Drosophila melanogaster: one gene and its partner. The protein of the gene in region 2 purifies or fractionates together with the protein of the main gene of each other region. This does not show direct contact. Each region holds a gene or a part of one and is shown on either strand. Other genes may lie near its edges.

Evidence for each region.
Region 1: the proteins of dgt5 (region 2) and dgt6 purify together in Drosophila melanogaster (affinity purification with western blotting; 2 studies listed by BioGRID, with this or other methods). This does not show direct contact.

What each region holds. Positions count from the first base shown.
Region 1 is NT_033777.3:29,128,050-29,132,936, reverse strand, and holds dgt6 (dim gamma-tubulin 6), read left to right. Parts: upstream 1-1,964; 5' UTR 1,965-2,045; coding exon 2,046-2,907; intron 2,908-2,973; coding exon 2,974-3,408; intron 3,409-3,469; coding exon 3,470-3,990; intron 3,991-4,056; coding exon 4,057-4,203; 3' UTR 4,204-4,353; downstream 4,354-4,887. Other genes in the region: Vha100-1 (vacuolar H[+] ATPase 100kD subunit 1), read right to left, coding at 433-561, 635-811, 1,112-1,228.
Region 2 is NT_033778.4:12,465,742-12,473,476, forward strand, and holds the start of dgt5 (dim gamma-tubulin 5), read right to left. Parts: upstream 6,035-7,735; 5' UTR 5,988-6,034; intron 5,982-5,987; exon of another isoform or gene 5,811-5,981; coding exon of another isoform or gene 4,203-5,810; intron 4,142-4,202; coding exon of another isoform or gene 3,171-4,141; intron 3,109-3,170; coding exon of another isoform or gene 3,012-3,108; exon of another isoform or gene 2,910-3,011; intron 2,452-2,909; 5' UTR 2,332-2,451; coding exon 2,237-2,331; intron 2,170-2,236; coding exon 1,892-2,169; intron 1,829-1,891; coding exon 604-1,828; intron 538-603; coding exon 350-537; intron 284-349; coding exon 12-283; 3' UTR 1-11. Other genes in the region: CG8545 (uncharacterized protein), read left to right, coding at 3,012-3,108, 3,171-4,141, 4,203-5,810; Nepl10 (Neprilysin-like 10), read left to right, coding at 6,174-7,735. UniProt on the Drosophila melanogaster protein: As part of the augmin complex, plays a role in centrosome-independent generation of spindle microtubules. The complex is required for mitotic spindle assembly through its involvement in localizing gamma-tubulin to spindle microtubules.

The DNA of each region.
Region 1 (4,887 bases), on a different chromosome or scaffold from region 2:
AAGACCTTTTTTTATAAATATATTTTAGAACCTATTGCCCCATGGCTTTCCTCTGATTGCCCAGGAACGCGACCGAAAGAAACAATAACCATCAACTGATATCAAACGCACATTACGATATATATGTACAAACTCAAACTGAAGGGTAAGAAAGCACACTTCGTTTGCCTTTGGAAGCAGAGAAGGAGGATATACGTGCCGAGTGGGGAGATACGGGGAAATAATTTTAGAGTGTAATTTGGGATAGATTGCTTATGTGACTAGAAGTCGTGGCTGCCACACTTGTGTTGTCGGTTGGGAAATTGGTTATTGCTTAGAAAATTTGGTTAGTTACCGGCCGCTTCAATGGCCGGCATTTGTTAATGGTAAATCGGTAACCGATCGCAGTTTGTTAGCTGATACCCATATGGAGTTACTCATGCCGCAGCTTACCTCATCGAAGAACACTTGGGTTTTGCGCAAAATATGCTTCAGCTCGGTCAGCTCCAGAAAGTTGCGCTTCAGGGCCTCGGCGTTCTGATTCACCTCCCTCAGCTCGTTCTCCAGCTTCTCAAAGGTGGCCTGAGCAGCAGACAAGAAAGCCATATAAGTTCAACAGTGTTTAGCAGAAAACAGGGAGTATGGCGGCGTATACCTCCAGGTCGATCATCTCGCGGGGCTGCGGGGCCTCGGGACTCTCCCCGGTGTCCAACATGGGGATGCCGTCCTTCTTGATCTCCTTCTCCAGGTAACGCAGCTTGCGCTCCATCTCATCGCAGCGGCGCACCTCGTTGACGAACTTCCTCTGGAAAGCGTTGACATCGGGATTGAGCTGCGGATTTCAAAAGATTGGTTTGTTATTGGGGGATCTCAAAGATACTTCATTTGTGCGATCAAGATATAGCACTTATGCCACTATATTTTTCAATTTTATTTAAATGAGGTAACACACGTAGTTATACTATACACTTAGTAGCTGGTGTCACCAGCTTTGCATTTACTTTGCATTCGCGTTAAAGGGGACGTTTCATGGAATACCGAATTCGCTAATGAGGTAAGGGGTATGATTGTGGTTTATGGTTAGTCAGTGCGGCTGCCTCGACCGCAGCTTTATGTAACCCATCCTACTCACATCTCGGAACTGGACCAATCCCAGTTCTCCCAACTCGGAGACGCAGGCGTAGGCCGCCTCGCTCTGCAGGAACAGCTGGCACAGCGCCATTTCCTCGCTGCGGAATAGGGAACCCATTGTGGCAGCCGGATTCCCGATATCTGCGAATGGAGAACAGACACTAAATCAGAATGCATATGTACATATATAGTACACAATGGGCCCATTCAATTGCATGATTCATGGCCAAACTGGGTTTCTTCCTAAGTTTTGCGGCCGTGTCGCATACATATTTTCATGCTGATTTGGTTATCGTTTCGGTGGGCGGACGTTCGCTTGTCCCCCAGATTATTTGTCTGTAATCTATACTATATATGCGCCGAGATTCGATTTCTATACCCCATGCGTATATTGATTTTTCTCCGCCGCGGACAAAAAGAAAGTGCTACGTTGGACCCGGATGCCAAGGTTTTCGGCTCGTTGGGGGTCAGCCAGTGACTGGGCTCGAGCTTTATCCGAAAACTATTTAGTTTGTCAGGGGGTCACTTCGAAATGAACGTCGATTAGTTAATTACCAAGTGCTTAAAAATTAAATATAAATTCGTCCACAAACTCCAGCAACCGACAAATTTCCGAACTATGAATCTAGTGTGACCGTGGCAGGTCATTGGATTTATACCAATCGAGTAACTAGGGAAATAAATTTGTACTTAAAAACAAATATCTGGGAAATATTATAAAAAACATTTAAAAAACACAAATGCTATTCGCAGTTACTATTCCTAGGGAAAATAAATAGATTTATCCCTTTTATATAACATTTTTCGTCAATATAAACAGGCAGTGGGAACGTCTTCATTCAGTTGAATTCAACCACTTGGTAACACTGGGCAGCAACAAAAACAAAGAACTTCAAACTAAACCGCCATATTTTACTTAATTTCTGTGCTAAAATATGGATCGGACCATAATTGCACCGTGGAAGGCCGAAGAGAAGGAGCAGAGCGAGAAGCTCCACAGGAAGCTGCAGGGACTGGCCCTGGTGCACCCCCTGCCGGACGAGCTGCGTAAGCTGATTGCCTGGGACATGTTCCTCAAGCCCAACCAGGTGGCCTTCGTGCATGTGATGCACTACCTCTTCCGTCTGCTGGATCCCGCGGAGTTCAAACGCCGCTTCTTCTGGCCCATCACCGACAAGAAGTCGGAGGCGAACTTTCGCTCCAGCACGGTGGAGTATCTGAAGCATCTGAACGAGAAGCACCAGCTGCATTGGGCCAACATCAAGTCGTATCTGGTGGTGATGCCCGGAGGCATGAGGTTCATCAACTTCCTGCTCGAGTTCGTGGGCTTCGTGATCCAGGAGCTCATCAAGCAGCGCGAGAAGTCACTTGGCTTAGAGGCGGGAACACCAAACGTGAGCGCCAAGGTCATGGCCCGCCAAAATGCCGTGATGAAGGAGTACGCTTCTTCGTATGTGGTCAATCTGGAGGAGAATACGGCCCTGTTGCGGGACAAGACCCAGAAGATCAGACGCCTGATGGCCGATCTGTCTGCAGACATGGGAGTGCCCGAGGAGCAACTGGCGGACGATGGCTTTCTGGATGAGTTCGAGGCCACCGCTGCACTCGGCGTGGAGCGGGTCATTACCCAACCCACCGAAAGGAAATTCGACCTGGAGGCATCTCTGTGCGGTCTCAAGGAGGCCATCGATCTTTTCCAGGTGAAGCAAGCCGAGAACAACCAGAGCAAGGAGGCGGTGGAGAAGGCACTTCGGGGCATGCGAGTGCTGTTCGACTGTGATGCAGTCACAGAAGGAGGTGAGACATCTTTGGTTGCATCCTTGCAGGTCTTTAAATTTAAATGGTTTTTCAATTCCTTCGCAGATTTCTACGATCCTTTGGGCGCATCAAAAATGGATGCGCTCTTAAACGGCTTTAATCGGATCAGCGGCACAATTGCCGAGCAACTGGATGCTAATGACCACTACAACGAATCGAATGCGTTTGTCACCACCGATTTGCAGGCTCTTCGAGTGGAACTTTCACAGTCCGAAGTCCAATTGAACAATTTACTCAAGAAACTAAACGAACCGTCCAAAAAGGACAAGGGAAGTGCCAATGCAAGTGGCTCCGCCAGGGTACAGACGCTTCAGCCGGCCACGCCTCGCTTCGAATCGGTTATCAGCTCCAAATTTGTTTCCACGCCTCCCATCAGAATCGACATGGGCGGCGGTGGCGGTCGCAATGCCCCAGTGCGTCTTGCACTGCAAGATGACTTCAATGGCAAACAGTTTGATGCCTTAAGCAACAGCTTACTCGGTAAGGAGTGAACTAAACCGTTCGCTTAGTGACCCTCATCCTTATGAGTTTTCCTTTTCAGCACCTGCGCCGCCTCGATCAGCACGCAAGCTGAAAGCCCTTGATCAATCGACCGGCATTGACCTTAATGGCACTTTAAACCGATCCAAGATCAACGATCCCATGCAAATGCTGCGCACCATTCACAAAAACACCTCCAAGGTCAAGGCAGCTCCGCAGGCGAATCTCTCCTCCCTGGGCAGCAAGTGGAAGCAAATGCAAGCGTCATTCGGTTTCGATGAGGCGCCGGTGCCAGGAGCAGCAGTGATCTCACCTCAGACCTCACCAACGGATCCCAGCGATCCCTTTACACCCTTGAGTGGTAGCGAGTGCACCCGAATTGAGCGCATTCCGCGCACTTCGGAAAACAACACTTCACTGATCGCCAAGAGCGCTGCGGTTATAAAGGTCCTGGAGGTATCACGGAATGTGCTTAATCTTAGCACCTCGCCATCTGGACGCCTAGATGCACTGGTTCCACATACCGAGAGCCACCAGCAAGATGTCGCGCCACGTCTTCAGCTCAACGACAGAACAATCAATGTAAGTGGGATCAACAATAATACGTGCCTACGAAATATACGAATCTCAAGTTCCTTTTTTTTACAGGACTCACTGCAGCTTGATCCCGATTTCAACATTGAAAACGATAAGAATGCATTCAATGTCTCGCATAAATTCGATTTTGATCAGATTGGTGGTGAGGATGACCTGCAGAACATCAGCGATAGCGTGCTCAAGGATATTATCTTTTAGTCCACGGGAATCGCGAATGGCCAATATTGTTTAGGTAATAGATTTTGTATTCTTTTTCTAATTGGTTATGAGGTTTTTAAACGAAATATACTTTTTACTTTAGTTTTTAATATTACCCATATGAAATTAAAACTAAAATCTTTCAGCTTGAAAGCAATTTTCTTCTTTTAAATACATCTATAAGTATACCAGGCTTTTCGAAATTCGAGTTTCAGGACTTAAGATTATTATTGAAATAAACAACCTTTGAGGCAGTATTAAGGTTTATTATATATATACTTTTAAAAGTCATATCTTATAGCTATTGTTCTTCATTGCGGCTTCAGCGATCTGTTACATCCTTGCAAAATCAGACTTTCTGAAATGAGTGGGTTGAGCGTTCTAGATGAATGAACGGCAAAAGTATGAAACAAATTGTATAAAAATAAAAAAAAATGAGTGAATATAATGATGGAGAAATAAAATAAGAACAAAACTGAAAAGTGTGTCTTCAATGAATTCATTTTTATTAAATTCGAAAATTATAATAATTATCGTTAACTTAAACTTCATGAATGTGAGATATGTACTTTTGTGTCTCTGTATACATGTTATTGTATGGTATTACTTTTGGTCTTTATGGTCCGCGCCTATCACATGTCTAGCCGCACAAAAAACTTTACATATGGATACGGATACTGGCGT
Region 2 (7,735 bases):
AAATAACGTACTTAATTAGGTGGCGCTCGCATCGAACTTCCATTGGTGGTCATGCGATAGTAGAGATTGAATTCGGACTCGTAGTCCGCGAAACTGCCATTGTTGTATCGTTTACTGGGTGGAACGTAGCGTCGCAATGGATTCTCAAGCAGGAACTGATAGATGCGCTCGGCCTTTTCCAGCTGCAACTGAGTCTTCACCCCAATGGCCATCAGGTTGTCCAGCAATTGGTCAATTTCCTCGTGCTGACGACTCGCCTTCAGTCTCAAATCGTGCGGATCAACTGGGGAGCAGGGTGATACGTTTTCTATCAGACGGATATGAGACAAAATGTCGGAATCGAGCTTACCAATTAACGGCTGCAAATTCAATTTCAACTCAGACGTGTGTGCGGCAATTGCTGACGCCCACAAAATGCGTTTTCGGACTTCCTGCAGAGCGCCGAAGGGTGTTAGCAAATAGCCTGGTGCCAGTTGAACGGTGGAGGCCAACTCCTGGGCCTCGACGATGAGTGGATTGGCCGACAACAGGAAGGAGCTGTCGGAAAAAACATGAACTCTGGATTAATTGGAAATAGCACATTCAGCTAAAGTATGCTCTCACCAGGCGCGCGGCGTACAGCTAAATTTTTCCAGCGGTATTTCCAAAAATGTATTGAATTCCAGCAAATGCGATGGTAGCGTGGCTCCGGATGCAGCCATCAGTGTGGTAGATGCTGCTCCGCCCGGCACTAGCGTTTTGTTGTCAAAACTGCGACGCATCGTTGAGTTTATTGCGCTGCAGTTGCCATCGAACTCCACCTTGGTGCTGGAGAACACACTATCATTGGCCAGGCAAAAACTCTCCGCACCCAACATGGACATATTGCTGACTTTTAGCTTAGTGCTCATCAGCTGGGACTTGGCGTTTTGTTTCTGTGTGGCCGCTTGCATATCGTCCAGCAGGTTCTTCATCATATTTCGCGAAAACAGGATCTTCTCCTTGATCTGTGACAGCTGCACCATATCTTGCTGGATGCGATTGATGCTGGAGTTAATGTCGCCGTATACTTGTTTCACAGAGCCTAGCTTTAGATCGTGATTCTCCAGCTGCTTGGCGCCCGCATCTAGCTCCAGACGCAGTTGCTCAATCTGCTCACGAAGGAATTCGTTTTGGGAGCGATTAAAATTGCGCATGTTGTACTGCACCAGATAGTCGCTAATCAGTTCATCCGCATTTTCCTCGTCGCCCAAACTTATGCCATTAAATCTGTATACCTTTGATTGCAGTTTGTCCACAAAGACGCTGTAGTCTTGGCAAAAGCGTTCCTCCTTCAGTTCCAGCTCCTTTTGGGCCGCGAAATATTTGGCCGCCAGACCCAGCATATCGGCCTTGGTCTTTAGTAACTTGACCTCATAGTTATTCAGCGGTGGCTTATCATTTGTGCATTCGCCTCTGGATTCATTCAGCTTCATGATGTGCTGCAGCTGCTCCTCTTTGATCTTCATTACCACGTTCAGAAGCAGGGAGTTGGGAATATCCGCAAAGGTGCTCCGCATCTGATCCCATAATCGCTGCTTGGCCTCGGCTAAATTGTTCACCGCATTGCCATCGTCACACATTCCATAGAAGGTCTCCAGCTGCTTGAGAGCCTGCTCCACAGCCCTTGTTGCCTGCGCCTCGCTGGCATTTCTAGCACTCAGCTTCACGGGCGTGGTGCCCAAGATTTGGATCTTGTTCTTCAACTCCTGGTCGTAGTTCTTATTCAGCGACTCCAGCTTCAGGTCAAGGATATTGCATTTGGATTCAAGTAGTTGCTTCCGGTTCTCAGCACTGATGGTTTGAATGTCTGTATGGGATTCACCGCATTAAATTGACGTCAAGGTTATCAGTATGTTCACTTTATACCCACTCTTGGTCTTGATGCCGGCAGATAGCTTTTGGTACTCTTTTCGGGCCTCCGTAAGCTGTTGGTTCGCCTTCTCCTTGTGCTTCTTTAGCTCCTGTATTTTTTGGTACCTCTGGAGCTCCGGTGGCTGGAAACTCCTAGAGGCCAGCGGCACCATTTTGTCCTTGTAGCGAGCCACTTGGGCAATCAGCAGGTTCTCGCGCACCTCCCGCACGTAATCCACCGGCTGGATGCGGGATTGCAGCTGGTTCAAAAGTAAACTGGAGCCGGACTTAAAAATTCTGTGAAGCAAAAAGCGGGTTTTAAGTACGGATAGTTGCCGATTTGCCTAACACAGCTGTAACTTACCTTCGGAGTGCATCATCGGTGGGCAGGGCAGTGGGCGGGCAGCCAAGATTAGTGGCCCAGTTCTTAAATTCTGTTATTTTCTCCTGGTATGCCATGATTTGCAACTAATTAAATTTTTCGCAAAAAGGCGCAGTCGTTTGAACCAGCCATTCACCAACACAATCAAATATGGCAGGGTTGTCAACAAACTACTATTCGCATCAAGTTGGCAGCAACTATAACGGTTATTTAAATTAATTTTTCATTTTAAATTACAACTAAAGATCATATCTAATTATTGAATGGATATAATACTTACTTATAAGCAAGAATTCTGTTAATTAGATATATTCCAGATTTTTTTTATTTATGATATTTTTGGATTTACCAATTAGTTTACCAACTCGTTTTTATAGTGCTGAGAAATACGTTTGCTGCTAAACAGCTGGGAGAGCAAGTAGCTAAAATATCTTAATTAAAAAGTTCCACGTGTTTTCCAAATATATATACTAACGTAATCTGTATAAATAAACTGTGTAAGAATCAAGCAAAGTCCGACAAAATAAAATTTAAAGTAATATATAATTTTATTAGTTATTAATATATGTTGAAAAAAAAACATTGTTCATAGCTAGTTAAAAGCTGAAAAGTTGACAGCACTGGCTCAAGCAATTCCCTCTGACCAGTGCTGGAAAACACTCGCTGTCTTTTGAGCGGCGCACGTGGAGCAAAATCGAAGTGCTCACGTTTTTTTTTAAGTTCTGCTCCAAGAAACTGGATAAACTAAGTTAAAAATATGGGTCGGAAGGCTGAATACAGTGAGAAACCGAAAAAGGGACCTGGGCGCAAGGCGCGCAAGCAAGGACCGCCTGTTTTTCGCAAACAATCGTTTGGTGAGAGCTCCTGAATATTACCCTATTCAATGGGTGTTCAATTCAAATGTTTTACTTCACAGCTCCCATGGAAGAGGAGGACAAGAAGCTTTCCCACCGACAGAAGCAGAGGTTCGTTAAGCGAGAGCAAAAGAAAGTAGTCCAGAAGGCCAAACTACAGGAGAAGAGGGCCAAGGGAAAGTTACCACAACCGGCTAAGCGGAAGACGGCCTACAACAGCGACAGCGATCCTGAGGATAATGAAGAGGAACCACAGGTTGCATCCTCCGATGAGGAGGTGCCTCAACTGGTGCCGGCTCCGAAGGGCCAGAAAGCTACAGCTCCCAAGGGTTTTACAGATGATAATGATGCCTGGCTGAAGCCCAAGAAGCAACAGAAGCAGCCAGAAACGGAGTCCGAGGAGGAGGAGGAGGAGGATGAGGAGTCGGAGGAGGACTCCGAAGATGAGTTGGGAGAAGAATGTGAAGAGGAAGAGGAGGGAGACGATGAGGAAGGATTGGAATCTGATGATGATACCGCTCAGGTTGGCAAGCTGGCCGATCTATCCGACGATGATGATGCCAACTCCGACGATGACTTTGACATATCTGGCGAGGAAGATGGTGCTCAGGCAGACAGTGATGAAGAGGAGGATGAGGACGACGACGATGATGATGATGATGATGATGATGACAAGCTGCCCATCGAGCGGGCTAACAAGAAGTTGAAAAAGCGCGAGGCAGAGGAAGCCCAACTGGCCGACGACGAAATGTTGGAAACCGTTGACAAGCAGGATGTTTTCCAGCTACCCGTCGAAGGCGAAGAAACCGAGAAGGACCTAACCCTGCAGGAAGTGCAACAGCGCATAAAGGACGTCAGTCTGGTTCTTTCCGACTTCAAAAGGTATCGTCAAGCGGATAGGTCTCGCGGGGAGTACATCGATTTGCTGCGCAGGGATCTGTGTTTGTATTACAGCTACAACGAATTTTTGATGGAGAAGCTGATGGATATGTTGCCGCTGACAGAGCTAATGGAATATCTGGAGGCCTCAGAGGTTAGTATATTTCATAAAAAATATAGTTACAAGATTAATCATTAAAAATTAACCCCTTTAGATTGCTCGTCCCCTAACCATACGCACCAATACTCTAAAAACACGTCGTAGGGATTTGGCCGGAGCTCTGATCAATCGTGGCGTCAACTTGGATCCCCTTGGTAAATGGACGAAAGTTGGATTGGTTGTCTTTAACTCACAGGTGCCACTGGGTGCAACTCCAGAGTATCTGGCTGGCCACTACATGATCCAGGGCGCCTCTTCGCTGTTGCCTGTAATGGCACTCGCCCCGCAAGAGAACGAACGCATCCTGGACATGTGCTCCGCCCCAGGTGGAAAGGGATCCCACATCGCAAGCATCATGAAGAACACTGGTGTGCTCTTCGCCAACGATTCTAACAGGGATCGCATCAAGGCCATTGTTGCCAATTTCCATCGCCTGGGAATTGTAAATGCAGTGGTCAGCTGCGAGGATGGCACTAAGTTCCGGAATATTATGACTGGCTTTGACCGTGTCCTGCTGGATGCTCCGTGCACTGGAACTGGCGTCGTCTCTAAGGATCCCAGTGTGAAGACCACCAAGTCGGAAGTAGATGTACAAAGGTGCTACAACCTGCAGAGGAAGCTTCTGCTGACTGCCATAGATTGTACGGATGCGAAGTCATCAACTGGCGGCTACATTGTATACTCAACTTGTTCGGTGTTGCCCGAGGAGAACGAATGGGTCATCGACTATGCACTGAAGAAGCGAAATGTCAAACTTGTGCCCACTGGTCTGGACTTCGGCGTGGAGGGCTTTACCAAATTCCGTCAGCATCGGTTCCATCCTAGCTTAAACCTTACCAAGCGCTACTATCCGCACACCCACAACATGGACGGGTTCTACGTGGCCAAGCTCAAGAAATTCTCCAACACCATACCCATAACTAAGGAGCAGCAGGAGGAGGATGAAAAGCAGCTGGATGAGGCCATCGAAGCGGACGCCACTACAGAAGCGGCTGCGGAGTCTGAGGAGGTGGAGGAGGAGGTAGCGTCAAAGGAGAAGGGTCCCCGAAAACTGCTTGGAAAGCGCGCCGGAAAACCCAGTTTCACCGAAATCGAACAGGAACTGAAGAAAAAGAAGCGGGAAGAGAGCAAGACCAAGTATGTGGCCAAGGTGTTTGAGCAGCCTGTCAAAAAGCCAAAGCCAGAAAAGCCAGCAGAGAAGAAAAATGAGAAATCCCAGGCACCGGACAAGCAAACAAATTCAAGCGAGTCACCTTCCAAGTCTGCACCTAAACAAAAACAAACCAATGGGAAAACCACTGTTTCCAATTCAGATGCGAAATCATTCAATAAAAAGAACAAAGGATCGCAACCCAAGGAAAATGGAGCCGGATCACCAGCTAAACCAGATGACAATAAGCCAACAACCAATGGCACAAACTCCCCTAGCAAATCAGCAATTAAGGAAACGAAAACGAAGCCACAGCCGAAAGGAAAACAGTCGCCCAAGGGAAACGCCAAACTGGCCAAGGCGCCGCGAGTGGATATCGACGATGTGCCCATTCTCGAGGGAAAACCCATCAAGAAGCAGAACAAGCTGAAGCAAAAATCCAAACAGATCGGCCAGCTGAAAAAGTCCACGGCGGGTGCGAATGCGGGAAAGAAGCAAAAGTTCAAGAAGTGAACACCTTAGATCCAGTTTTGTTAAGTAGACTATAAGCGTGTGACATATAGTTGGGGTAGTCCCGACGCGATTACCAATTTTATATTGCGAACTGTCTTAGCGAACGATTGAAGATTGAACTACAACAGCGGTGTAATTAAGATTCAATAAACGTTAAGATCGGTTTAATGTACTCACCAAGCGGGTTTATATAGGTGGCAGGCACATTTCATTAGAGGTAATTGCTCTACATTTCAAATGTGAATTCTAGTATTGACCAAGCTGTCACTATCAGCCCCAAAGCTCTATAGGTAGTTCGAAGGTGGCCGAGCTCAGCAGAGCGTTGCGATAATCTGTTGTTTCATTGTGAATCGAGCGAGCTTAATGGGATGTTTACTTTTACTGTGCTCTTGCCTGGTGGCATTATTCATTCCCATCCAGGCAATAGTGGACATCAACGTGGCAACGTCGAACGATATTCACAATAATCTCAATAGAACAACATCACCGTGCACGAATTTCTGGAATTTTGCCTGCGGTCGCTTCTCCAGTGCCTCTAAATATGTGGACAACTTTGAGCGAGTCGAGGATCAGTTCGCCACTGCCATGGTGGAATTCATGGAGAGCCACTTGGGTGAAAACGATACACTGGCACCCCGACTGATAAAGCAAATGCGACAATACTACAAGGCCTGCAAGGAGGATACGCGAAAGCTTCACGGGAATCCTCGTCCCGAAGAACTGGTCAATCAGTGGATTTTGCATCCTAAAAAATTTCTCGTATACGGCTTGAATGGTGTATTCATTGATGAGCGAGTTGATGTGGCCGCCAATGATTCCATGCGTTGGGTTATTCAGTTAAGGATGCCTGACCCGGCTGATAGATATAGTGACCGCCGTGTCTTGCAGCTCATGCGCCTTTACGAAGAAGCGTGGTACTCGATGGGAGTGGTTAAACTGGTGGAGAAAATGCATCAGCTGCAGGATAAGTATCGTGCAGAATATCCTGTTGTATATACATGGAGTTTCAGTGAATTAAGGCAGGAAATCCCTATTCCGCATTCCTTTTTTATTGAGTTATTGGGCGTGAACCACACCGAGGAGCTTTATCACCTGACTTTCGAGGTGAGTGATGTTGAGTATTTGCGGGAATGTTTTCGCTGTCTACGGGATTTCGCCAGTGAGCCGAAGGACACGTACATTCGAGCACGCCAATATGTTTTAGTGGAGGAGTCGGAGCCAAGGGAGCGGAATCCAAGAAGCTGCATTCACCATATGCGTGCCTATTTACCCCTGGGCATGAACTACATCTATGATCGATTTATATACCAAAACCGGGAGGAGGATACCAGTAAGGTACTGGAGATTTTATCCACTTTAAAGGCAGCTTTTGGCCAATATTTAGATGCCAATCGCCTGCAGCTTACGCCAAACCAGTTGGCCTATGTAAGAGCAAAGTTGGAAGGTATTCAGATCAAAATAGGAAATTTGCCTGAGGAGAAATCTCCTGAGTTCTATAATAACCACTATGGAAGTGCGAACTTTTCCGCGACAAACTTCCTGGCCAATCTCCTTGAAGCATTTGCCCTACGTACCCGTCTCCAGAATGCTGGACTGCTTGCAAGGAATTCTCGAGTGGATCTGCGGCACTATTATGTCAACGATAACGTAAGGAAGGCTCGCACTTCTCCCTTCTATGAGAACGAAAGGAACACCATTACTGTTCCCATGGAATTTTTGCAGTGGCCCTTGTTCGATCACCGAGAGCACACCATCTTCCAGCACAGTCTTCTGGGCGCAGTCCTGGGCCACGAGATGAACCACGCCTTTGAACAGGAAGGTATACTCTTCGATGCAGCTGGAAATGAGTCACCTGTGGGCTTGGAGATCCGGGAGTCGAAGCCTTTTCGGGATGCCATCAAGTGTGCGGAGGAGCAACCATTCGT